4 linked regions of the Caenorhabditis elegans genome follow. The protein of the gene in region 1 interacts with the protein of each later gene in a pairwise test. Each region holds a gene or a part of one and is shown in the gene's direction. Other genes may lie near its edges.

Region 1 (4,795 bases):
TTCATAGAGCCATTTGGCTTTTTGGGGGGAGCCGGCCAAACGGCATTCTTTCGCTTGCATAGGCAAATGTCGTATATCCAGAGTGTCAGCAGGGCAGGAGCAGCGCTAGAAGCACCGTCGTTTCAAATCGACGCCATCTAATATGCATATTTGAACAACTGCGCGGTTTTGCCCACAGATCTGGCCGCCGCAATGCCTTTTTGCCTTTTACTGGCTAAACATGAATCCGACCAGTGCGATCATCCACATTTCCTCGTTTTACAGTACAGCTGAAAACAAAAAAAGATAATGGAGCTTTTGAAGGAATGGGGACTTTGTAGGAAAAGATAATAGATAATCAAGAGAAGTACATCACGTTTCGAATTGCCTCAACTTTAGGGCTCATGTGTCAATGCTCATTTCGTTAAGCTGATGACCTCTCGATATCGCATCTGTTTCTCCATGTTTCATTCATACTACTACCTATTCTCCGTCTTATCCCTTTTTCCTTCCCAATTCTTTGTCTCTTTCTTGCCAAACAGAACAACACCTCCCGAATCAACATTTTATCCCCCCACAATCAATCACTCAATAAAATCCATCAAAAATCTTTTGATAATCAAAAATGCCTCGGTGCCTGACTGCCGAACAAGCCGGCGGGGCGTCGTCTTTTTTGTTAGCAGTTGTGTTGTCTGTCATCCTACGTAATTTTGTGAAGACTCGAATTCATGAGCCAAGTGGTGCTCAAAAGACTAGGTAATGAATGTGTAGTGTAATGGCCGGGAAGAGTGAGCCTCATACACAAGATATCATATCATCTTATCTCCAAGATGTATTTCGAAGAATCTTTTTTGAATATTTCACATTCTCCATTTTTACAGAGCTAACTGTTTTTTCAGCTTCAACTAGAAATTTTCTCAACAGTGAGAATGCAAATACTTTCAGAAAATGATGTGTAAGTGACAAACATAGGCACTCTCGGAGCTACAGAACCAATTTCTCTTCTTATCATATGCAAATTTGGCGTTTTTTAATACTCTAATGTGTTATTCAAAGCTTATCAGTCAAATTTTCTTTATGATCTCATACAGTTCGGCAACATCGAAGTTTAAATTTCAAATTAGGACGCGATAGATTTTACCCTAGTTTCGTTCCTAGATATTAGAATAACTTAGATAATAGAAGAAAAGTGATGCGAAAAACAGGGACTCGAAAATTGTTTTAAACAAAGTGTCCTATGCGAAATTCACTTCATTTCTTTTATTTTTCTCTTCCTCTCCCACATTTTTCGTCGAGAGCTATCATAACAAGAAGAGCTGAACGCGATGCAGCAGTAGCCGCAGAAAAATCAGATCGAATCATTAGGCGCATGCGACAATTGGCTGAAAAATACTGAGACACAAGTCGCACTAGAACGCTTGGCTGTCAGCTAGTTAGGTGCCGCTCGGCTTTTCCTCCCCACCCCGAGAGTGGTTGATTTTATGCCAATATTACAACTTCTAGGGTGGCTCATTTTCCTGAATCGCCGATGCGATCACCCTCGTCGGCAATGAGTGGCCCCCACGCGTTTCGCTTGATCCATGCCGCCGATTTGCTCACATGAAACACATTCTTCATTTTCTTTTCTCAATTGACGGAATATTACATTTTGTTTATCTCGATTCTCTTTTCTCAGTCAATCTTTTCTGATTCGTCATACCTTCATTCACCTTCCAGCTTATACAGTTTCGATTTATTTTTAATTTTCATCTATCAAAACCACATTCTCTGTCGGTCTTATCCAACAGTGTCTCTGTTTCAGACGTAAAAAGTCTCTATCATCATCCTCACAACACATATCATCAATGCAAGAAATATGAACACCTTGGAGAACACGTTTCAATTTCTCGCAGAAGTATTCGGTAGGTGATGCTTTATCAATATCCGTTTCTTTTTCTAATTGTCGACTCTTCGGAGTCTGGTCACAAATCAAGCGCGTTGCTGTAATAATTCATTTTGACTGATTTTCGTGAAAAGCTAATGACAACGGTATGTTATAGGCGATGATTGTCTACCTGGACGCAACAATTTTTTAAAAATGTTGGTCAGATGCTCTTTTTTTGCAGTTTTAAAATCCAAATTCACTTGTGTAAAAAAAAAAAAAAATTAGGCGTTTTTCAAAAATTGTATGGGTTTTTTGATGAAAAAGTGAAACTTTTTGCACTTTTGAGCAAAACAGTTTTGTTGGGTTTTTTCTTGTTTTTTGAGCCTGAAAATGAAATATATGTACATTAAGAAACTAATTCATGTGTATACTAAAATCGAAATGGTATGTATAAAATAATTAAATATTTTTTGGAGTAGCAAACTCAAAATTATCAACTTTAGTTTTAACAACTCCAGAAATAACTTTTGAGAAAATAAGGGTCAAAAGTTTTTTTGAATTTTTGAATGCATTTTTCTGTATAGAAAATTGTCAGAAATTCAAAAAATTATAATACTTGCAAAACATTAAAATAAATTTTGGATACTCGATATGAAATCACTTCAGACAAAAATTAATTTCCAATGTTACGCTACCAGCTTTTCAAAAAAATTGTAAAAATTTAAAGTTTGACGGTAAACATTTTCCAAAACTCATTTACACTTAAAAAGCGGTTTCATAGCGCTAAAAATTTTACAGTAAACATTTTGAAAGAATTTTCAATTTTTTTACAGTCAAAGAGTGGTTAAAATTTAGTTTTGACCTAACATTTTGAAAACATGTATGTAAGTGTAGCAATGCTCAAATGTTTTTCTTGAATTTTCACCAAAATAATTATGGAGTGTTCTATTTTGATATTCGGCCATCTTAGAGTATTATAAAAATTGTTAGAATGAGTTATTTGACAATTACATTCACTGAAACGTTGATCAGTTATTAAATACTGTAAGTTGATTTGTAGAACAATGTACACAAAATAAGTAACTCCAAATTATCAATTAAAAGTTTATCATTTCATTGAAAAATCACAGTAGTGAAAGTACTATCAAAACTTGATCTATTGATCACCGTTCCGTGTGTCCTTATTTTCGCGTTCCACTACTTACACAGATTAACTCAAGTTCAGCGTCGTTGATGTTAGCTTTCGAAAAAAAAAACTTCTGCGCGAATTTGATTGGCATCGTGAAAATGAGATAACATGTTCTGATTGCTCAAAAAAGGAACTTTTCTGACTAGATGCTGCTCCATATTTCTTGTGCACATTTTTCAGAAGCCAATGGTGGTTGCCTTGTCACAGAACGTGTCAGTCCATCTTTGTCGGGAGCCAGCAAACGAAAAAGTCGACCGGTGAAGAGGATCATCACTGAAGACGAAGTAATCCCAGAAGAAGAAGTGGTCGAAGAAGAGGAAGAAGAGGTGAGTCTTTTGAAAACAAACTGCTTTCCAATTGGCTTTTAAAGTTACCTTTTTTCTCAAATACGTTTTTATTTGCAATCAGTGAAAAAAAAAATTTAAGCTGTTTCATAAAACTTTATATATACTAAAATGATTAAAAAAGCTATGAAAATAGTTATAAAATACCACACATCTAAATTAGTCAGTAATGTTTTTCCACTCTCATCGGACCCAAAATCAGACCTTTCCAATTCAACTCGGCCATCCCAGCCCATCGCATCCATTTGCTTTCTCAAGATGAAGCAGTGCAATGAAAGTGTGGGATAATGCAATAAAGGGGTGGCTAAAAAGGAAAAGAGATGCGGGTATCGAGATAAGCAGATTCGGGAGTTGGCCCTTGTTTATGATGTAGGACAAAACTAAAAGTAGGCAGAGGAGAAAGCCGAGCCGCGTCGTTCTGTGTTTTCAACTTTTCATATTGGTCCTTTTTTTAGGCGAAATCTTGGGAAATTTAGTGATTCGTCAAGATAAAAATTTTAATTTAAACTGTTAATTTACTGTTCTGGGCATGATCCTATTTTTTATCTTTAATCATCTTATTAGGGAAAAAACAATTTTTAGTTTTTAGTGCAAAATTCCAAACGAACCAGTTTGTTGCCTGTCTCAAAAATTACATTTTCAAATATGGATAAAAATTTAAACCATCGTCTTATTTAAAAAGTATTTTTTTAATTTATTTTTTAACATAGATTTTTACTGTTATTGTTAATGTGTACATATTATTTTATTTTACTCTTCTGTATCTAGAAATTCTGCATAGTTAATTTTAAGAAAGGGCTCGAAACAGTAAGATTAACATTTTTGAATAAATGTTCTAAATTTTATTTATTAGAACTTTTAATGTCTATTTTCATGACCGTTTCATAAAGAAATAACTAAAAAAATATCGTAAAAATAACTTTAGAAATTGATTCAACTAGATATTCCTTATCATTTTTGACCGAAAAGATATTTGGAAAAAACAGTATTGAGATGACGGTCGCTAACTATTTTCAGCGACTGCCACTGTATATAAACTGCTTCACTTTTTATACATACCTTTTTAGCACAAAAGTGTATTTTCTAATTACTAAAATTTGTTAAATTTCAAGCCTTTTCTTCTCACGTTTTCCAACTTTTCCCACGCTGTAAAAATTTTTTGTTTCGTAGTATTTTAATTTTGGATTAAGGTTCAGTCAGGTCATTTTATCATTTTTTTTTAATTAAAAAACAAAATTTTTGAATGTATTTTCAGTTCTTTTTTCCTTTACTTTTGTAATTAATTTTCATAACTTCTATATTCACATTGAAATTGTATCAAACTACAGCAGCTCTGAACATTTTTGAGCATCCTCAATTTTTTTTCAAAATTAGAGACCTCTGGAAATAAAGAAAGTAGGTTGGCTGACCCAATCATGC
Region 2 (6,708 bases), on another chromosome or scaffold:
CTAGAAAAAAAACTGGAAAACTGGATGCAATATGATAATAAAACTTGATGAAAAAAAGCTTTTTTAGGTTGGTCAATCTATAAAATATTGAAATTCCTATTAAAACGAAAGATTTTGAAAACTAGTTTTCCTACTACTAAAGATTACTTCACCCTTTAAATTTAAAAAACTGAAAAGTCCTCGAAAATTTTTTTAAAGGTTTACATTTTTTTTCGAGCAGTTTCAACTTCCAGATAAACTTTCAGCACTTTTTCAGTTTTTCCAATCCAAATTATAGTTGTTTTCAATCAAATCAAATACTTTTCTATACTTTATCATTAAATGTAGACTTGGAAAACACATTTCAAATCGGCAAGTTGCTGGAATTAAAAATTTCCGGCAAATCGGCAAATCGGCAAAATGTCTTTTTGCCGAATTGGCCAGAAAAACGGCAATTGCCGGATTTGAAAATTTACAGCATATCGGCAAATTGGCAAATCGTCTATTTGCCGGATTGAAAAACTGCAATAGCCGGAAATTTTTGTCAAAATAAAAAAGCAAGTTCTATGAAAATATCTAAACATAACAGGAAACGAATTTTTCAAAAAGGCACAGTTTTAAGTGTTTCCGTCTTTAAAAAAACCCCTCTAAAAATTTCCGGCAAATCTGATATCCGGCAAATGGCAACTCGGCAAATTGCCGTAATTTTTTTTTGGCAAATCAGAAAATTGCCGGAACTGAAAATTCCTGGAAAATCGGCAAATTGTCGTAACTGAAAATTTCCGGCAAATCGGCAAATTGCCGGAACTGAACGTTTCCGACAAATCGGCAATTTGTCTAAAACAAAAATTTCCGGCAAACCGGCAAATTGTCGAAAATGAAAATTTCCACTTCAACAATGAAACATTTTTCCTGTAGGCTTCAGACAAAAATTATATTTCGTCCTTTAATCCTTTTTTAATCAGGTTTCACTTCACTGTGAATCTAATGAATTATATTATTAAAACTGAAAATTCCGAGAATTCATTTGGATAAATTCTAAAATCAGGGTTTCAACTACCAAAATATTACATGGATTCTGCTCAAGAATACATTGTTCTTCATTTTTTCAAACCTTTCTCGAGCCACAGAACCGCTTTTGCTACATGTCCTGGAAAGATTTATCTTTCATTTTTCGCTGTAATGCTTCATTGTAATGCTTCATTGCGTCCCATTTCGGTTTGATCTACAAAAATTGCGGGGAAAGAGACGCAGAGTTCTCAACTGATTTTGCATGGTTAAGAACGTGCTGACGTCACATATTTTTGGGCGAAAAATTCCCGCATTTTTTGTAGATCAAACCGTAATGGGACAGCCTAGCACCACGTGATGCTTCTGAAATTTGGTTTTGGAATGGGTTTCTATAGATACCTTTTTTCAGCTTTTGATATGCCTTTCCAACCCATTTTTATACAATATAATACCTAATTAATCTGTCAATTGCATTTACATCCATCGAATGTACAATTGCGATGTATTGGAAATTACAGCAATCAGTGCCCATCCCCCATCAACAGTCTCTTATCAATCTTGCTAATCACCTTCACTGTCCCCCCCCCCCCCCACTGTCTCAACCACTGCTCAGATACCAAGTATGTCGCACAGTATTTCCTACTCTGTTTTCTCTAAGGCTCTCACATCTTTCCTCTGACTATTTCTCATTTTTTTGATGCTGCCCTCCTCCTCTATTCAATACAATCAAACGATGTCATGATGCAGGCAAACATCATGCATTCACTGTCTTCACTCTTCTTAGCAAGAAGTTGTGTTCTCTTATCACACACACACACACACACACACTGTCTCCCCCACCATTGGTCTCTTGCCTTTTTTTTGACTGACAACGACGATTTTGAATCTAAGGAACTGGGGATAGGTATGTTTTGAAATTTTGGTTAGGAAAATATGGAAGGATCAAGCTCCGCCCTTGATGATTACTGTAGATTCCTGAATGCATCAGTGAGTTCACGATGGGCATCAGGGCTCTTACATTAGGGGCCAAATTGCCGAAGTTCCGAAGTTTCCGCAACCAGAAGCTGCCGGTTGCAGAAACTTTGGCAATTGCCGGTTGCTGGCGACGTGTATGTATATCTCGCGTCCAAAACAGGGTGGGTGGCAATTGTCGTTTGGCGAAATCGGCAAGTCGGCAATTTGCCGGAATAAAAAATTACCGGCAAATCGGCAAATTGCCGGAATTAAAAATTTCCGGTAAATTGGCAAATTGCCGGAATTAACTATTTCCGGCAAATCGGGCATATCGGCAAATTGCCGGAATTAAAAATTTCCGGCAAATCGGAAAATTGCCGGAATTAACTATTTCCGGCAAATCGGGCATATCGGCAAATTGCCGGAATTAAAATTTCCGGCAAATCGGAAAATTGCCGGAATTAACTATTTCCGGCAAATCGGGCATATCGGCAAATTGCCGGAATTGAAAACTTCCGGAAAATCAGCAATATGTCGAAACTGAAATTTCCTTTAAATCGGTAAAATGCCGGAATTAAAATTCCCGGATGATCGGACAAATCGGCAAATTGCCGGACCTAAAAATTACCGGTAAATTGCCGGAATTAAAAAATTCCGGTAAATTGGCAAATTGCCGGAATTAACTATTTCCGGCAAATCGGGCATATCGGCAAATTGCCGGAATTAAAATTTCCGGCAAATCGGAAAATTGCCGGAATTGAAATTTCCTTTAAATCGGTAAAATGCCGGAATTAAAATTCCCGGATGATCGGACAAATCGGCAAATTGCCGGACCTAAAAATTACCGGTAAATTGCCGGAATTAAAAATTTCCGGCAAATCGGCAAAATGCCGGAACTGAAAATTTCCGGAAAATCGGCAAATTGCCGGAATTAAAATTTCCGGAAGATCGGTAAATTGCCGGAATTGAAATTTCCGGCAAATCGGGCAAATCCGCAAATTGCAGGAATTAAAAATTTCCGCCAAATCGGAAAAGCGGCAAACTGTCGATTTGCCGAAATTTCCGGAAAAACGCCTTTTGCCGAAAATGTTTGGCAAATTATGATTTTGCACTTTTTTTTTGGAAATTTCAAAATTTCAATTTTAATCGGCAAACTTTTTTCCTACATTAATGTTGAAAAATCCCTTTTAAAATTTCTGGCAAATCGGCAATTTGCCGAAAATCAAAATTTCTGGCAAATCGGCAAAATTAGTGTTTTGATAAGAATCAGCAAACTTTCTCATAAGTTCGTTACAAAAACAGTCGCGAACCAATAAGCGAAAGACGAGGAACCAATAAGCGAAAGACGATGCGAAAAATTTTTTAAAATGCACAATTGGGCCTGGCCCGAAAGTTTCAGACAAGACCAAAAAATTCCAAATTTTACAGAATGAATAACGAAACAAGTGGCAGTCGTGACATGATTCTAAAACACTTTGACTCCACGCAAAACAACCAGAATTCGGTAAAGCTGGAACACGAGTCGTCAGATAACAATGAATCGTCAGGCTCCCAGAACTTTGTATTCAACTTTTTAATGAGCCAACTGCAAAACATGGGTCCAGTGGAGATAAAACAAGAAGTAGAGGCGAAGATGTTGGATGATATAGAAGATGAGTACACTGATAATAATTACAATGAAGGCTACTCAAAGATGGATACAGATGGGGATTTGGAGTGGGAAGAGGAATTTAAGAAATTGAATAAAGATCCGAGTAAGATGGACAAGAGAGAACAGGTTTGTGTGGATTTTTTACAACTTCTAGTACAAAATTTAGGTTAGATGTACATGCCCGCCTAACGCCTATTTTTTGTAGTGTAGAAAAAGATTTGTTATATCTGAAAATAATTTCCAAATTTTTCTGAAAAGCCTCACTCAAATCAGGATAGCAATTGGGGCTCAGCAAATTTTTTTGTCGACGAATTTGGCAAATCGGCAAATTGATGGTTTGCCGATTTGCAAAAAATTATGATTTCCGGCAAAAAAAAACTGCCGATTTGCCGTTTGCCGGAAGTTTTCAATTCCGAAAATGTACCGATTTTCCGATTTGCCGGAAGCTTTAAATTCCGGCAGTTTGCTGATTTGCCGATTTGCTGGAAGTTTTCAATTCCTGAAACTTACCGATTTGCCGGAAATTTTCAATTCCATCGATTTTGCCGATTTGCCGGAAATTTTCAATTCCATCAATTTGCCGATTTGCCGGAAATTTTCAATTCCGGCAATTTTTCGATTTCCCAATTTTGCCCGAAAAAAATTTGCCGGAAAATTTGATTTTCAGCAAAAAAAAAATGCCGATTTGCCGGAAATTTTGCTTTTCCGCAATAAAACTGCCGATCTGCCGGAATTTTGATTTTCGGCAAAAAACTGCCGATTTGCCGGAATTTTGATTTTCGACAAAAAATGCCGATTTGCTGGAAATTTCAATATCGGCAATTTGCCAATTTGCCGGAAATTTCAACTTTGGCAAGAATATCAATTTTAAATCCAAATTATTCAGGAACGTCACCGTCAAATGGCCAAAAACCGTGAGTACGCCCGAAAGTGTGTTCAAAAGAAAAAAGATCAACGAAAGCATGCGGAAATTCGAAGTAATCAAATCAAAAAACGCATTCAACTTCTCAAAAATAAAACGGCGATAAAAGAGAAAAATGCGAATTTTGCAGTGGATTTGAGAAAAATGATGTCAGAAATTGGAGTAGAACGGCTGAAATTGGAATATGAAAATGAGAAAATGGAATTGAATAAGAAGTTTGCTGAAATGTTTGCACAGGATGAAACTGTTAATTTGAATTTTCATGTAGGTTTTTTCTCTAAATTTCAAAAAAAAAGTGACCAATTTGCCGAAAATTTATTTTGCCGGTTAGCCGATTTGCCAGAAATTTTCAATTCCGGCAATTTGTCGATTTGCCGGAAATTTTCAACTCCTGAAGTTTGACGATTTGCGGAAATTTTCAATTTACCGATTTGCCGGAATTTTTCAATTCCGGCAATTTGCCGATTTGCCGGGAATTTTCAATAACGGCAATTTTCCGATTTGCCAGAAATTATAAATTCCGGCAATATGCCGATTTGCCGGAAACTTTCAATACCGGCAATTTGTTGATTTGTCGAATTGCTGGAAATTTTTCAATTCCTGCAATTTGCCGATTTGCCGGAAATTTTCAATTCCATCAGTTTGCCGATTTGCCGGAAGTTTTCAATTTGCCGATTTGCCGGAAATTTTCAATTTGCCGGTTTGCCGGAATTTTTCAATTTGCCGTTTTGCCGAAAATTTTCAATTTGCCGATTTGCCGGAATTTTTCAATTTGCCGATTTGCCGATTTGTCAAAAAAATAGCGAATAAATAAAAAAGTCCTACTTTAGTTTGAGTTTTTTCAAAAATGCAAAACTGAGAACTGCGACCAATCAGCGATTTGCTCCGCCCACTTTTCCACCAATCAGATCGAGTGGGCGTAGTTCAAAGATGGTGATTGGTCGGGGAGTTCTCCTTAGTTTGTAAATCCCGTTTTTAAACTTTTTTTGTGGAATTTCTGAATTTCCGACTTTTTCTTTTGAAAAGTCAATTTTAAAATTATTAACCAAATTATAGAGGCTCGCCAGTGCTCGAGAAGAATTTGAAAAAGCTGCTGAAGACCTACGTCTAAAAAACGGAGTAATTGGGACTTTAGGTTCCCGAAAAATCCGAGCAAAGCAGCAAATGGAGTGGAGACAGCATTTGTATCAAATATCTGCACATGAACATGTTCGTTTATATAAATTCTTACCTGAAACAGTCAAAATGAAGAAAATCCCGTTAACTGAAACATTGGGGAGAATGCTCAAAAATTGGCCTAAATTAGCCTAAAGTTCTAGTTGAAAAAAATTTTATTTCGAGACGAATCATGTAATTTTAGTTCATTTTTTAGAATTTCCCAATAAAATTGTAAATTTTTCCAGAATATTTTTTTAAAAATAACTTATTACAGGAGCATCATCGTGAGACAAAACTTGCCGAGTTGGCAGACGAATATGTTAAGCAAACGGTACCAAAAGCTGCTCCCCTAGTCACCTCAATTCCTAAAGACATGTTAGATCAACTAATTAAAAACAATAAAACTTTGGATTTGGAAGAGCTGTGCCGTTTTGTTGCTGATAATTTGTGTTTGTTACAAAATGATAATGATGATAAAGAATCTGTTGTTAAATAAATTATGGAATTTATCCGATGGTTGTACTTTTTGAAAATGTGTTCTTATTCATTTATTCTCCTTGTAGTCTAAATATTTTTGCCGGAATGGAACATTTCCGGCAAGTTCGGCGAACCGGCAATTTGCCGGACTGGATATTTTCTGACAAGTTAGGCAAACCGGCAATTTTTCGGAATGGAAATTTTCTGTCAAACCAGCAAATTGCCGAATTTGTAAATTTCCGGCAAATCGACAAATTGCCGGAATTGAAATTTCCGGCAATTCGGCAATTTGACGGAAAGGAAAATTTCCGGCAAGTGCGGCAAATCGGCAATTTGCCGGAAAAAAACACTTCGGCAAGTTGTGGGTTTGCAAGTTTATTTTCTGGAAATTTCAGAATTTCAAAACGATAATCGCAACATTGCCATAATTGAATTTTCTGGCAAGTTAGGCAAACCGGCAATTTTTCGGAATGGAAATTTTCTGACAAGTTAGGTGAACCGGCAATTTTTCGGAATGGAAATTTTCTGGCAAGTTTGGCAAACCGGCAATTTTTCG
Region 3 (7,242 bases), on another chromosome or scaffold:
CGTCTGTCTATCTCTCTTCAACGACCTTTTCCTGCATCGTTCTCGATATTGCGTAAAATCCCAACACATTGTCTTACTCTTGGGTAAAATCGAGAAAAAAAAGTATTTTTGATTGCGTAAGCATCAAAATGAAATGCAGGTGTTCACCACTAAAATGAAATGGAGGTCATGTTCGTACCCTGTGGTACAAGCCACAGAGAGTTCAATTTATATGATGAGCATTTGAAGAATTTTATTAGGTTCTAAAATACCATGAGCCTGGCAGCTGGAAAAATATTTTACTGTTTTTTTTTTTGCTTAGAAACCTAATACTATAGACTACACTGAATTGGTTGTGACAACCTACTGAAGAACAAGAGGGGTAGAACATTAAATAACGAATCTAAGAATTTACAATCGGTGTTACAATGTTAAAGTTTTCAGCAACTAACTTCAAAGAAAATTAAAATTTTAATGAATCAAGGGATATTGGTTTTTTGGTTCGATTTTGTTCTGGCTCTCCGAGAGAGAACTATATGCCTGATACTGATATATAAAAAATAAAGTTGAAAATGAAGTTTGTAAAAAATACAGCTTGAAATTCGTCAGTTTTACGTTTGTGGTTCAAGCAAGTCTGGAACCTAGAGTTTCCCTAAAATAATATTTATATTTAATTTTTCACACGACCTGAAGTTTTCTCTCAAAACAGTCTACTACATATTTCACATAGAACCCCAGACTCCATCTAACTTTTTGCGGCAAAACTACCATTCCTCTGCTCAAAACTTTTGCTCCAATTCTTTTCATCATAAAGTCTTTACTGATGACAATGAATGGTCAAGTATTCTCAGGGATGTCGTCGGGTCTTTTGAGCTCTTTTGAGTCTTCCAAAACTCCTTCAACTTGTGCCTCCAAAAAGATTTGAGGAGGCATTCTGAAGAATGGGAGCAACAACGGCAAGAAGTGTGTGGTGATTGTGCGCGGGATGAAAAGAGAACAAAGTTTTTGGGATGAGGTGGATGCTCCGTGAGCAATAAAAGGATCCGACAGGAAGGGAGTTTTCAAGAGTAATATTGACTATATAGGGCAAATATAATAACATGACCAAGGATACAGAACTGTTTTCCGAAAAAACCAGAATCCCAGAAAAGAACCACTTCTTAATTGAGAAAGTTTCAAAATTTGTTCAAGTCAAACTGCAGATAAAATGTATTGAAATTAAATAAAAATTGAAAACTCCGAGTTAAAGTTAAATTAAAAGATGAGTAGAGTGTGGTCAATCATAGTGGTTGCTTGAAAACTTCACACACTAGTAAAGTTTACAGTGGTCTAGGTTTTCAGATTTATAGTTTTCCAAAATAAGTTAAACATTTCAACTACAAGAGCACCTCAGTTAGATTTTCTGTACTCTGAACAATGTTACTTGAGCTATTAACATAAAACTACCACTCAATTGAATAATTTGGCATTCACCTGGATACTATGAAAACAAAAAATTGAATATTTGAAAAACAGTACACTAGAAAAACTCTCAAAATCAATCAGGGCGTGGCTTATTGCATCGTCTACAGTATCCCTCAGAGTCGTTTCTCTTCGCTTTCTCTCCGTCGGCTGTCAGTGGTGGTCGCTAGCTCCGCCCATGATTTGACGACGTGACTCGCCTTCGCCTTTCCGACTGCCTCTCACTCTCGCCTTAAGAAGAGAGAATTTGTCTTTTGGGAATCTGTGTGCTCAATATTCCGGAATTCTTGAATTAATGAATCTGGCGCCAAGAATGATGACTGCGGTTTCACAGATGTCGGTTCCAAGCAGTAAGTCAATTTTAAAAAGTTAATCGTCAACATCTAGAATCAGAAGATGAAAACTTCTACTTCGAACTTTCTTGGAAAAATGAGCTTTCTTAAACTTCCAGGCTTTAGCTGTAGAAAGCTTTTTTCCAATTCCCAACTTCAAAAGAAACTCAGATTTTAAAATTGGGATCTTGAGCAATTAATAAACGTAGGATGAGTTGCCCGGTGGGCATACTTCACATTCTTAGCCACATAAAATTGTTATTTTCTCATTTTAATTTCAATTTCAGAGTAGATTATTATTAATTTGAAATATTTAGGGAAGAATTTCCTAAAAATGGGTTTGGAAGTGCATAATATCGAAAAAAAAAGTGGGAGCTTTTTTGGCAAGATACATACGTATAGGATTTTGATACCTTCACAAAATTTTGAAAACCCTATGAAATACTCCTGTTTTTTTTTAAATATTTTTTTACTACCCATTGTCTTCAAATTTAACAAAATCTGAACCTTGACTTCTTCCATGGGATAAATCCATTAATATACAAACTACAGTAAATCCATGTATCTTTATATATGAGTTCTAGAAGCCTTAGTGCAGATGGGTTACTGTAGTTGTACCTAAACTAGTTTGTGTGAATGAAGAAAGAAAATGAAGAAATGTCTAATGTGAATATCATAATTTGAATGCATATCAATTTCAGTGTGAGAAAAAATTTCTAACTGAAAAATTAAGACATTATTTCAGAACCCTGATTTCAGAACTAAAAAGTCACATAAAACTTTCATAAAAATTCCTTTTTTTTTCCTAATCTCCCCGGCACGAGAACTCCAATAAGTAAAATAGGAAGTCATTAAACATAGTGACTCAATATTATGGTAGAAATGATTAGGTGTGAATTATGAGTTAGGTGATGGAATTAGTACAAGAATGGAAGAGTTTCTGTGGGAGATGCAGGTGTTTCGGGTCAATTGTGACACGTGGCACCTGTGGATTTAGCACCATTTAGCTAGAACTAGAATTGATTTGAAAGGTCATGATGTTAAATAAAATTAATTTTTTAAAGTCATACGAACAACATCAAAACTAATACTCAATATCCAAGAAGTAGAAACTCAATTTGAAATATTGTTCACTTCTTGCCTTTTTCTTTCAACAAATCCATTTCCATTCTGCCTTCATTCTCTTTTCATATTCTATTAATTAGGCAGGCAAGAGACACAGGAAGTGCTGAATAATTGGAGTCTCTCCTTCTTGGCTTTCTTGATTTCCTCATTCTATTTCACACCTAAAAATGATTATTTCTTCAGGTCGAATTCTATTGGATGTTGATTGTAGAGTCTGTGAAGATCATTCGTCGGGGAAGCATTACAGTATTTTTTCCTGCGACGGGTGTGCTGGATTCTTTAAAGTAAGTTTTAATGTTTATTGAGCTCTCATTTTTTAGATAGCTTAAAATATTCGAATTTGAGAGTAAATTTTAGTGGAAAATTTTTAAAAAAGTATTATCTAGACGCGAAAGTTTCCCATTTTTGCTCTAAAAATACGGTAACCGGTCTCGATGTGAATTTTTTTTATTAAACGGGAAAAGGTATGTGCCTTTAAACTGTACTGTAATTATGTACTCTCGTTTCTGCCGAATTTTTCTCCTGATTTATTAAAAATGTATGTGTTACATCTGAATTTTATTAAAAAACATATATTTTTATCGAAAAACCATCCAAAATTCGACAGAAACAAATTTATTGAACTACAGTACGTTTTAAAAGCGCACACCTTGGTTAGACAAGGTACTAATTTTTGCTGAAACTAATTGTTATATTATTGAATTTCCGGATAGATAAAAATGTGTTAATCTTCAACAAAAAATGTCTACAATCATTTTGCAACATTAACTTTGTTCTGCTCCGATTATAATGTATGTCTAGGATTTGAGACCTCATGAAATATTTTTTCAATGTGAATTGACTTTCAAATTTCCTTAGCATAATTATCATTGAAATTGAACAACAATTCCAAATTTCAGCGTTCAATCCGTCGTCATCGTCAATACGTGTGCAAAAACAAAGGCAGTCCATCCGAAGGACAATGCAAAGTGGACAAAACACACCGCAACCAGTGCAGGTGAGTTCTTAACGGTCACAGATTAGTGTTACGATCCCCTTTTATGCTCTTTACGTTCGAGTCCATACATTGATTGATGACACTTGGAGAATTTCAGAGCTTGCCGACTAAGAAAGTGTCTGGAAATTGGGATGAACAAAGATGCTGTCCAACATGAGAGAGGGCCTCGTAACTCAAGTTTAAGACGACAACAGATGATGTTCGATCATGGATCCTCTCCTAATTCGGTATGTGTTTGTGGGAATCTTAAATTCGGATATGTTACAAGGACAAAATATTTAATAATTTTAATTAAATTTATCGATTCTAATTTAGTTTTGAATTCATAATGACTTTCAAAATAGTTCCATTTAAATCTCATGATTACCGATCTTTCTCTTTCTCACTCACAAAAATCAGTGACTAAAGTGAAGTGAAAAAAGGATTTTGAGTAGAATTAGTACAGTAATCCGCAGGTGGATTTTGGTCGAGTTGACACCGACGCGGCGGCGACGAAAAGTAAAAAAGGTGAAAAGTTGTCGGTTGCTGTACAAATCTACAGTACCACCTGACAGGTGATTTGTCACTCTTGAACATAGTCAAACATTTTACTGGCGAAGGGAACACCTAGGATATAGAGCATGGTCAGAAATATGATTGCAATGAATTGCAATTTTCTACAACACGGTAACTTGGTTGTTGCCGGAAGTGCTGAGTATTCGTTAAGTTGGCAATTTTTTGAATTGGCAATTATCGAAGAATTAAACAAAACATTTTAATTTTTTTGTGGTACGTTTTTCTCAAAACGTCAAATTTCAAAAAAATATCCTCTAATTATCAGTTAAACACCAAATACGTGCCAAAACCGTGACAGATTCTTTAAAAAAGAGCACCTTGAAAAATCAGCCAGTTTCAAAAACTTGTGAATATATGTGTATTCTGGGGCAGATGTTTTAATGTTTCTATTTGTATTCGGATACAAATTACTCAATAATATTGTGCTCTTATGGATCTTAAGTGGGGACAACATAGTGTCAAATGATTATGTTGCATAAGTACTTGTTAGGGACAGCTGATTGGAAGAATTAGCAAATATCGTATACAAGAGGAAATTATGTCTAAAATTTCTATAATTAACTTTCAGTGAAAAAGTTAATATTATTAAGTAGATGATTTTAATTTTCCTTCATTTCAGCCGGAAATGGGATCAGAAAGTGATGCAATAATTCTTCCGACATCATCAATGAATCGTGACACAGTGGCCGGTACTGCTGCTCGAATCTTTTTTGCACTTGTTGGATTTTGTCAGAATCCTTTGAATGGAGTACCTAAAGAACGGCAAATGACAATGTTTCAACAAAATTGGGCAGCACTTCTTGTTCTCCATGCAACTGAAACACGTGCCATAACTTCTAAGCAAATAAGGACTGAGACGATATCCGGTAGCTCAGAGCAAAGAAATGCGGTATGCAGTAATATGAATCTGAATATTTTGAAAAATTAATGAATGTTCAGGTTGCTAACGCGTTTGAAATAATTGAACGTTTACAATTGGATAATAGAGAATACATGATGTTGAAACATTTCACAATGTGGAGAGATACACCAAGTGCAATTCAAATTGTCTTTCAGTTAGCATCTATTCAGAATTTCACACATAGAACCGAACCGACGAGATATATCCAGTAAGTTCCTTTTTTTATTTTTTTTTTCAATTTTCTTATTTTTGGAATAATGTGAGACTTCACTATAAAGGTAAACGCTGTTTTTCTGAGTGGGTTGCAACGATCAAAGTTAATTAAATATTGTATTTGCTAGTTTGAAGGTTGCTAATTCTTTTTTAAAATTAATTAATTAACCAATTGAAAAAGTTCATTTATAGTTTTTGTACGATTATCCTATTCAAAAGTTCATTTTTCGGCTCAAAATATAAAAAATTCCACAATTAAAAAAGCAGTGTTTTTTGTTCTCACAAAAAATGCAAATTATTTCCTATTTGCTTAAAAAGCGAAATTGATTATTGAAAACTAATGAAAACTAAACGCTCTAGTACCATCTTTCCTTCTGAAAACTTCACAGTCTGAAACCTATTTCAGATGTATAAATGCAATTGCCGCTATTCCAACAACTTCAATAATTGATGTTCTATTCCGCCCTTCAATTGGATCAGCTTCAATGCCAAGACTTATTCAAGACATGTTCAAGCCACCACAACAACCCACTCCTACGTCACTGTTTCCAATGGCAAACTTCAATTTGAACTTTCTATTAAAACAAGAAAAAACCGAAACTGAAGAGGGTGAAGATATTGAAGAAGAGGATGATGCGACGAGTAGCAATCAATTTGATGAAAATTCTTCTACTGATGATAGGTATGATGAGCATTTATTAGTACAGTGGATTAACTGAGTCTGTTGCAGATCTGTCGGAGAACTGGATCCCGTTCAACTTTTCTTGGCTCTTAATTCCTCAACTCAGCCTTCATCGGCATCATCCCCTTCCTCTTCAAGACCACGTCATTCGATTCGATCAATAACTGAATTATTATCAATTCAAGAAGAAGAGAGTGTTAATGTTGAAGAGGTTTAGATAGTAAATTCATGTTTCATATACAGTAACTCAATTATTCTAAGTATCTCTTTTCATTGTCTTTTTCACTCCGTTTCTTGCCTCGCCCGGATTTTCATTGGATTTTGATTTATACTTTCAAAATTTCATTTTTCAATTGTAAATTTTTAATTTAAATTTAGAGAAAAAAAATGGTAAGCTTTAAAACTAATTTATTATTTTCTGATTTATATTGTGAACAGATGAATAAAACGTTTACAACAATGGCAATTGGCATACAAACATCATTAAAAAAAGGTGAATCATACAGTTTTGAGAAGACTACATATGATTCGAAACATAAAAAACAATAGAAATCAATAAATGATGGGAGAGAAACCGAGAGATTTATTGGAAAATGGAACGGTTGAATGTCATATTGTGTCATCGTCGTTTTCCTTGTTAATGGCCTCGTTTCTTATCATATCCATATCATTCTGATATTCCCATTCAACTAGATGACCAAATCATTAGCTGACTGATTTCCCCCTTTTTAATGATTTGTTTATGGTTTTGTCAATAGTTTGAACGCGTTACGTTTTTGTAGATAAACCTGATTATGCTAGAATATTTTTTATTGAGATTTATTGACTAATTTAAAGTTTTAAACTAACAGAACAACAACCAATATTATAAAGAAAATGCTTTAAACTCATTTTTGAACATCCAGAACATCCGAAAAATAACCAACATGGTTAAGATTTTTCAAAGTTTTTAGTCAAAGTTTCGGTATCTATTTGCAATTTTCAAAAAACATGGAAT
Region 4 (7,798 bases), on another chromosome or scaffold:
GTTTTTGGGCAGTTTTTTCCATAATTTTTCACTATTTTTAGGTAAAAATTCGGAATTTCTGATTTTCAGCCAGTTTTTTTTTCATTATTTTCTCCGATTTTCTAATAAAAAAGCGAATTTTTCGCTGAAAAATGCGAATTTTAGTCCAATTTTCTGATAAAAATCCGAAAATTCGCAGATTTTTCGGGTAATTTCGCCCTAAAACTTAAGTTTTTCATAATTTTCCCCGATTTTCTGATAAAACTCCGAATTTTTTCCCTTAAAAAAGTGGATTTTCGTATTTTTAGGCAGTTTTTTTCATAATTTTTTGAAAAAAAGAGGAATTTCTCGTATTTTGGCTAAAAAAATGACGAATTTTTTTTGATTTTCCTGAAATTTCATTGATTTTTTTTGAATTTCTCGTCGGATTTTCCACAGGTTTTTTAAATTTTTTAAAGGATTTTTCAGTTGATTTTCTGAGATTTTTTCACTAAATTGAGAATTTTCGTTCGATTTCCTGGAAATTTTTTTGACATTTTTCAAATTATTTACTGATTTTCTTGCCTCTTATTACGGGTTTTCACCGATTTTTAGCGAAAAAATCTACCGATTTTATCGATTTCGTATCTCTCGGATTTTCTTGAATTTTTGCAGCGATTTTTAGTATTTTCGGTGAAAAAAATGTGGATTTTCTAAATTTTGCGATTTTTTTTTAATTTTCGGATTTTTAGGCTGTTTTTTTTTGTTTTTTTTTTCTAATTAATTTATCCAATTTTCAGCTGGAACTCGATCGTTATGTGCCTCCGCGTGCTCGTACCGATGGCTCTCCTCGCCTGGTACTTTACCAACGAACATCCGAACGCGCTCCGTTGGAAGAATCCGGCAATGCCGAAGCAGTATTCATACGATTTCTACCGTGCCTACCCGTTCGACGATCCACGCAAATACCCAATTGTCAACTATTCGTTTGATTTGGAATAGAAAATTCCTTAGTTTCGGTTGTTTTTTTTTTGGTAGTTTTCTCCGTTTTCTCCTTTTTTGTACTATAAAATATTCGAATTTTATCATTTTTTTTTTTGCCTTTTTTTTGCCCTTTTTTCAGCGTTTTTAACGCTTTTATACCTATTAATTCGTTTTTTTTGTTGCTTAAAATTGCGCCTAATTGAAAAAAAAATTCCTAAATTTTATATGATTTTTTGAAAATTGAAAAAGTCTCAGTTTTCACCCCTAATTCCTATTTGAATTACCGCTAATTGGATTTGTTCGATGGAGCGCGCTTGCACGTTTTTAAGTTTATTTATTTTATTTTTTGTTATTTTCCACCGATTTTCAATTTTTTTTAGTTTTCGGTGTATTTTTACATGAATTTTAGAGAAAAAGTCAAAATAAATGCTAAATTTCGATTAAAAAGCACGCTTACAGGCGTAAAAATGACAAAATTAATTAATTTCACTGATTTCGGTCTGTACGCATGGTTTTTATTCGAAAATTTGCATTTATTTCGACTTTTTCTCTAAAATTCAAGCAAAAATACACCGAAAACATTAAAAATCGGTGGAAAATAACAAAAAATAAATAAATTTAGAAACGTGCAAGCGCGGCGCTCCAACGAACGAGTTCAATTGGCGGAAATTCAAATAGGAATTAGGGGTAAAAACTGAGATTTTTTCAATTTTCAAAAAATCATATAAAATTTAGAAATTTTTTTTTGAATTTGGCGTGTTTTAAAGCAATTTTCCCACTGGCGCTACGCTACTCCACTTTTAATTAATTAATTATTTGGAAAAAAAATTCAGAACTCGGCGCTGGACGCCCCCGCACAAAATGCTCTTCCTCGATGATTTTTTAGAAAGTAAGTGGTTTTTTTTGTTGCAAACTTTTCCCCTATAAAAACACCCAAATTTTCAACGTTTTCCAGTGCTCGATGAGCTGCCTGCCGAGCTGAAGGAGAGAAGCGATGAAATTCGGCGAATCGACAATGAAGTTGAATGTAAAATTTCGAAATTTTTCTGAATTTTTCCCTTCATTTTTTCGAATTTTTAGCCCGTCTAAACCGTAATCGAGAGGCGATCAACGATTTTTTCGAGAGAACCGGCGTAAATATGCCCGAGGAGCAGAGAAAGGAGCGCTGCAAGGTTTTGCAGGAGGTGAATTTCATGAAAATTCCTGGAACTCGAATTTGGCAGCAAATTGACACGAAAACGCAGGAAAAAGTTGATTTTTGCCACAAAAACGGCTAAAATTCGTGAAAAATGAGAAATTTCGCTATAAAACCCGTTTTTCTAGCTTTTTCGTGAAGAAAAATGAGAAAAAATGGGATTTTTTTGTACTTTGCCTGATGTCATTTTTTCACTTTTTAAGCTTTTTTTTCCCACAAAACACCAAAAGTGCTCAAAAATACTCAAAGTGAATGACGTCTAAAAACACTAAAATGAGGTCGAAAAACTCAAAAAGTTGCTCAAGATCCGACCAAGTTGTAACCTTTTCGGAAAAAAACCTAAAATTAGAATTTTGTCGTTTTTGATCGTTTTTTGAAGCTTTTTCTTCACAAAAATAGCTTAAAAACGCAAAAATTAGCCCAAAACGCTTATAAATCTCAAAATGCATCCAATTTTTCAAAATTTTCCGCTAAAAATAAAGGAAATACCGAAATTTTCAAAAAATGAGCATTTTTCCGCGAAAAAATCCCAAAATTCCGCTAATTTTTCAGAATTTCTCGGAAAAAAACGGTCGAAAAAATTCCTTTTTTCACTGAAAATCTTTTTTAAAAAACAGGACAAAAAATCGCAAAATTCAGACAATTTTTCGGAATTTCTTGTTAAAAAGTGAAAAAAAAGCTGAAAATTTAGCTTTTTTCACGAAAAAAAATTGAAAATTCAACTAATTTTTGGGAAAAAACATTTACATTTGCATTTTCTAATTTTTTTTTCGTGGTTTTCTAAAAAAAACTTTCAAAATCTCAAAATACAACCAATTTTGCCGAAATTCTTGGAAAAAAACCCTAAATTTGCATTTTCTATTAATTTTAAAAGCTTTCTCCCCCAAAACTACCTTATAATCCCAAAAAATCAGCCAATTTTTCTAATTTCTCTTTAAAAAAAAAGCTGAAAAATTAGCTTTTAAAAAAAAAAAAAGCTTAAAAATCCCAAAATGCCAATTTTCCAGATTTTCTCGCGTTGAAAGTGAAGGAAATGCCGAAATTATAAAAAAAAATTAGCTGTTTTCACAACAAAAAAAAAGTCGAAACCCCCGAAAAATCATAAAATCAACCAATTTTTCAGAATTTCTCTTTAAAAAGTAAAAAAAAGCTCAAAAATTTGCTTTTTTTTTTCAATAAAAATTTTAGAATTCAACCATTTTTTCAAAATTTCTCGTTAAAACGTTGAATAAGCTCAAAAAAAAGTTTTTATCACAAAAATAGCTGAAAAATGGCAAAATTTCTCTTAAAAAATGAAAAAAAAAGTTCAAAAATTTGCTTTTTCACAAAAAAAAAATTGAAAAAACCCAAAAAATTGCAACCAATTTTCTTCAGGAATTCTCCACAATCCGCGTGCTAGCTCAACGCAAATATCTAATCGCCGAAAAAATGCAAGAACTCCTCAAAAAGTACAAAGTTCACTTGGAAAAGGAGAAAACCACGTTCCAGTGTGAAATGGAGGCCGACAATTCAGGAGTGACCGAAATGATCGAAAAACGATATACCCAACACGTCGAATCTCTGCTCACAGCGAGAAAAGAACGAAAACGTCGTCATCGCGTGGGCGGTGGTGGTGGTGGTGGAGGATCGTCGTCGAGAGCATCGACAGTCGCTTCGGGACCACTTTTATCGAAAGAATCAAAGGACAAAATTCAGCGGATCCTTCAGGAAGGTGTTCGTCTTCGAATGGATCTTTCCGATGAGTCGGCACAATCGGCACTATCATCGGCTATACCATCACCAGCGCCACGTGGGCGCCCGCCAAAGATCGCAAAGGATCAGCTGTTGCTGTCGTCGGCGGCGATGGTGGTGGCCAGTGATGATTGTCTGACGCCAGTGCCACCAACACCGACGGCTAGGGTGAGGAGCTAGCTGAAAATTCGAGAAAATTCGCAAAATTTGGAGCCCACCTACCACGGCCTCCTGTTCAAAGAACTGGCGAAATTTCGAATTTTAGCTAAATTTTGAATTTTCAAATAATATTTTTCAAACATTTTTGAATTTCAGCCTAAAATCCGCAAAATTTGATCGTACAAAAACCTCACAAAATTGATAAAATTTTCCCGTTTTTTGGGTGTTGTTACAAGAAAAATTTGACGAAATTTCGAGTTTTAGCGTAATTCGTCTCTTTTCAACTATTTTTTTAGCCTAACCGCCACATTTTTTAATAAAATTTACGAAAATTGGCCGTTTTTGGGTCATTTTGGACCGTTTTCAGCTAAAAATTAACTTTTTGTTTCGAATTTTCAAAATTAAACGAAATTTGGCTCTTTACTGACTAATTTTTAAGCCAAACCGCCATGATTTTCTGGAAAATCAGCCTATTTACAGGAGGACTAACGGTTTATTGACCCAAATTTTGTGCTCAAATGAACGAATTTCGTAATGAAACTGCTCGAAAATGTATTTATGGCGGTTCAAAATTTCGAAAATGACACTGATTTTAGCTAAAATCTCGAATTTTGGTCATTTTTCCGTGTCACAGCTGTAGGAAGTTGGTTTTTTTTGGAATTATCATCCTTCATTGCATATTTTGGTAGTTTATCTCATTTAATTTCATTGATTATGGTAAATTTAAAGCCAATAGGTAACCAAAAATCATTAAAATTGGTCGCCTATAGGCTTTAAACAGACCTTAATAAACGAAATTAAATGAGATATTAAAACCAATATATGCAATCAAGAATGATATTTCCAAAAAAAGCCAACTTCGGACAGCCGAGACACGGAAAAATGACCAAAATTCGAGATTTTAACTCAAATCAGTGTAAGTTTTCGAAATTTTGAAGCGCCATAAAACATTTTTGAAGAATTTTTGAGCAATTTCAGTATGAAATTCGTTCATTTGAGCACAAAATTTGGGTCTATACGTTCCAAATCGTCCGAACCGTTAAATAGGCTGATTTTTCAGCCTAACCGCCATTATTTTCACGAAAATCAGTCGTTTTTGGAGTGAAAAAACTAAAAATTCTCTAATTTCTCCAAATTTCAGCGCCGCTCAAACACAAATGCTCTCCGCGGCACAGTCTCCATTCCAAGTGCTCTTTCATCAATGATGAATCGTGGTGAATCGACATCCCGCTTCTCACCGAATCCCTCCGAACGTAGTTGGTCAAACGCCGGAATCGACGAATCATCACCGACGCCGACGACAAGCCTACTGATGACACCGACGTTCTCCTCAGGACCGCATATCGTCGTTTCGCCGACGACTCCAGTTCTCCAGAATTCGGCGTTTGTGGTGTCTGAGAGCCGTCATGGTAGAACTCGGAAGCTGACCAGTAGAGTTCAGGAGATGTTTAAGGAGACTCTACAGCGGCAGCGGAATCATGGAAATTCAATTATAGCACTACAGGAGAGAATGAGTGCGGCGAATCTGGCGGCGGCGGCTCAGCACGCTCACGCTCCGACGAGCTCTTCACCACAATCACCACTTCCGGAGATTGAAGGAGCCGCCGAGGATGATGATGAGGAAGGACCGAGTTATCGGATTAAGCGGAGCCATCCGATGATGGCTCCGGGATCGGAGGATGAGGAGGATGAGATGCATTGGTGTTTTTGTAATGAGAAGAGCTATGGAGATATGGTTCAGTGTGATAATCGTCATGTTAGTGTGGGCTTTTTTAATGAAGGGAAAAATTGAATTTTTCTCCGAAAATTGAGCGAAAAATTCAAATTCCCAGCAGAAATAGTGCGAAAAAAAAATTAGATTTTTTTTTGTTGTTTTTTATTACCAAAAATTGATTAAAAAATGTGAATTTTCATCAGAAATAATGCAGAAAATTACTGTTTTTTTTTCTTCGAATAGTGCGAAAAATTGAGTTTCCATCCATTCAAAAAATCAAAAAATTTGGATTTTCACACGAGAAAACAGTGCGAAAAATATATAATTTCTACCTGAAAATTGCAAAATCATGTTGCTATATTTGCGGTGAAAATTCACTTTTTTGGTTAGTCAAAGATTATCAAAGATCTTATTAAAAAAAAAAAAAAAAATTTCCATTCAAAAAATCGAAAATTGAGCGAAAAATTCAAATTTCCAGCACAAAATCAATAATTCGTAATTTTTGATGAAAATTCATATTTTTTCATGGAAAATTGTACAAAAAATTCAAATTTCCACCAAAAATTGAGTTTAAAAAGTGAAATCAGAAATAATGCACCGAAAATTAAATTTTTGTTTCAAAAATAGTACGAAAAAAGTTAATTTTTAACCGAAAATTATTTTTTTTTTAATTTGAATTTCTACCACAACAAAATGCTTAAAAATTGTTAAATAGAGTGTTTCCTTGGAAAAAATCACAAAAATGAAGTTTTCACCAAAAAATTGCGAAAAATATATAATAATTTCTACCAGAAAATGCAAAATTTTGCTTTTTTTTACATTTTTATCGAAAAATTTCACGAACATTCAGAAAAATTGAATTTTCACCAAAAAATTGGAAAAAGTTGCAATTTATATTATTTTTAGGCTAAAATCAACAAAATTTCTGCGTTTTCAACGGTTTTACCAAAAAATGTGTTACAAAAATTCGAAATAGTTGAGCGAAAAAATTAATTTCCACCTAAAAATTGCAAAACTTTGCTATATTTTTGGTGAAAATTCGATTTTTTGTTGGTATTATTATCAAAAAATTTTACAAAAAAAATAGAATTTTCATTTTAAAAAAATCCCGAAAAATTAAAATTTCATCAGAAAAATATTTTTAAAAATTGATTTTCCACAAAAACATGCTCTTGAATTACAAAAGCAACTGAAATAATACGAAAAATTTAGATTTCGAAAATTAAATTGAATTTCCACTGTAAGTATTTCAAAAATTAGAAAAATTAAATGGAAACAAACACAAAAAAACATAAAACACGAAAACATGATTTTTAAAAAATTGTTTAAAATAATTACAATGTGGAAATTTCATTTTTCGCACTGTTTTCGGTGAAAACTCAGTTTTTTTCCACAAATATTACAAATTACATCCATCCATCTGAAATTTACACCAAAAACCTTTAAAACAAAATACAGAAAGTCTGAAAATTTCAACAAAAAATTCTAATATCTAAATTTAAAAAACATTTCTACCAAAAATCTGATAAACTGAATTTTCATCGAGACCATCACCACCAAAAAACTAATTTTTGACCAAATTGAGTGCGAAAAATCGAATTTCCATCAAAAATATTATAAAACATTTTGTTTTCTTCGAAAAGTAATGCAAAAAAGTAAATTTCCGCCACACAAATATATTTAAAAAAAGTTGAATTTTCATCAAAAACTACAAAAAATAGAATTTGCCTGGAAAATTCTAATTTTTTCGAAGAAAACAAAATGTTTTATAATATTCTTGATGGAAATTCGATTTTTCGCACTCAATTTGGTCAAAAATTAGTTTTTTGGTGATGGTCTCGATGAAAATTCAGTTTATAAGATTTTTGGTTGAAATGTAAATTTTTTATAGCACTTTTGTAGCTATATGTTTTTTAAATTTAGATTAGAATTTTTTGTTGAAATTTTGGAAAAAATTATGGGAAAATGGTAGATTTGTTTGTTTGTTTTTTTTTGTTGGAAAATAAAAAAAGTAATAAAAACCACAAAAATATCAGTAAGTTTCAACCTAGATTAAA

What was found.
Region 2: the proteins of ceh-18 (region 1) and zip-12 interact in a two-hybrid assay, tested with the Caenorhabditis elegans proteins (one large-scale study listed by BioGRID).
Region 3: the proteins of ceh-18 (region 1) and nhr-67 interact in a two-hybrid assay, tested with the Caenorhabditis elegans proteins (one large-scale study listed by BioGRID).
Region 4: the proteins of ceh-18 (region 1) and ing-3 interact in a two-hybrid assay, tested with the Caenorhabditis elegans proteins (one large-scale study listed by BioGRID).

Annotation. Positions count from the first base shown.
Region 1 is NC_003284.9:3,854,783-3,859,577, reverse strand, and holds the start of ceh-18 (Homeobox protein ceh-18), read left to right. Parts: upstream 1-1,780; 5' UTR 1,781-1,834; coding exon 1,835-1,880; intron 1,881-3,211; exon of another isoform or gene 3,212-3,212; coding exon 3,213-3,358; intron 3,359-4,795. UniProt on the Caenorhabditis elegans protein: Directs gonadal sheath cell differentiation and function. Also directs gonad migration and plays a role in specifying the differentiated phenotypes of epidermal cells during postembryonic development.
Region 2 is NC_003281.10:12,326,092-12,332,799, forward strand, and holds zip-12 (BZIP domain-containing protein), read left to right. Parts: upstream 1-1,575; 5' UTR 1,576-1,855; coding exon of another isoform or gene 1,856-1,894; intron 1,895-3,372; 5' UTR 3,373-3,373; coding exon 3,374-3,721; intron 3,722-4,481; coding exon 4,482-4,781; intron 4,782-5,573; coding exon 5,574-5,726; intron 5,727-5,949; coding exon 5,950-6,171; 3' UTR 6,172-6,183; downstream 6,184-6,708.
Region 3 is NC_003282.8:11,168,081-11,175,322, forward strand, and holds nhr-67 (Nuclear hormone receptor family member nhr-67), read left to right. Parts: upstream 1-1,667; 5' UTR 1,668-1,753; coding exon 1,754-1,790; intron 1,791-3,080; coding exon 3,081-3,181; intron 3,182-3,796; coding exon 3,797-3,894; intron 3,895-3,991; coding exon 3,992-4,121; intron 4,122-4,329; exon of another isoform or gene 4,330-4,459; intron 4,460-5,068; coding exon 5,069-5,338; intron 5,339-5,388; coding exon 5,389-5,558; intron 5,559-5,969; coding exon 5,970-6,245; intron 6,246-6,293; coding exon 6,294-6,462; 3' UTR 6,463-6,711; downstream 6,712-7,242. UniProt on the Caenorhabditis elegans protein: Orphan nuclear receptor that binds DNA containing an extended core motif half-site sequence 5'-AAGTCA-3'.
Region 4 is NC_003280.10:13,874,259-13,882,056, forward strand, and holds the start of ing-3 (Inhibitor of growth protein), read left to right. Parts: upstream 1-1,775; 5' UTR 1,776-1,803; coding exon 1,804-1,831; intron 1,832-1,897; coding exon 1,898-1,969; intron 1,970-2,022; coding exon 2,023-2,126; intron 2,127-3,511; coding exon 3,512-4,036; intron 4,037-5,168; coding exon 5,169-5,783; intron 5,784-7,798. Other genes in the region: ndub-8 (NADH dehydrogenase [ubiquinone] 1 beta subcomplex subunit 8, mitochondrial), read left to right, coding at 759-960.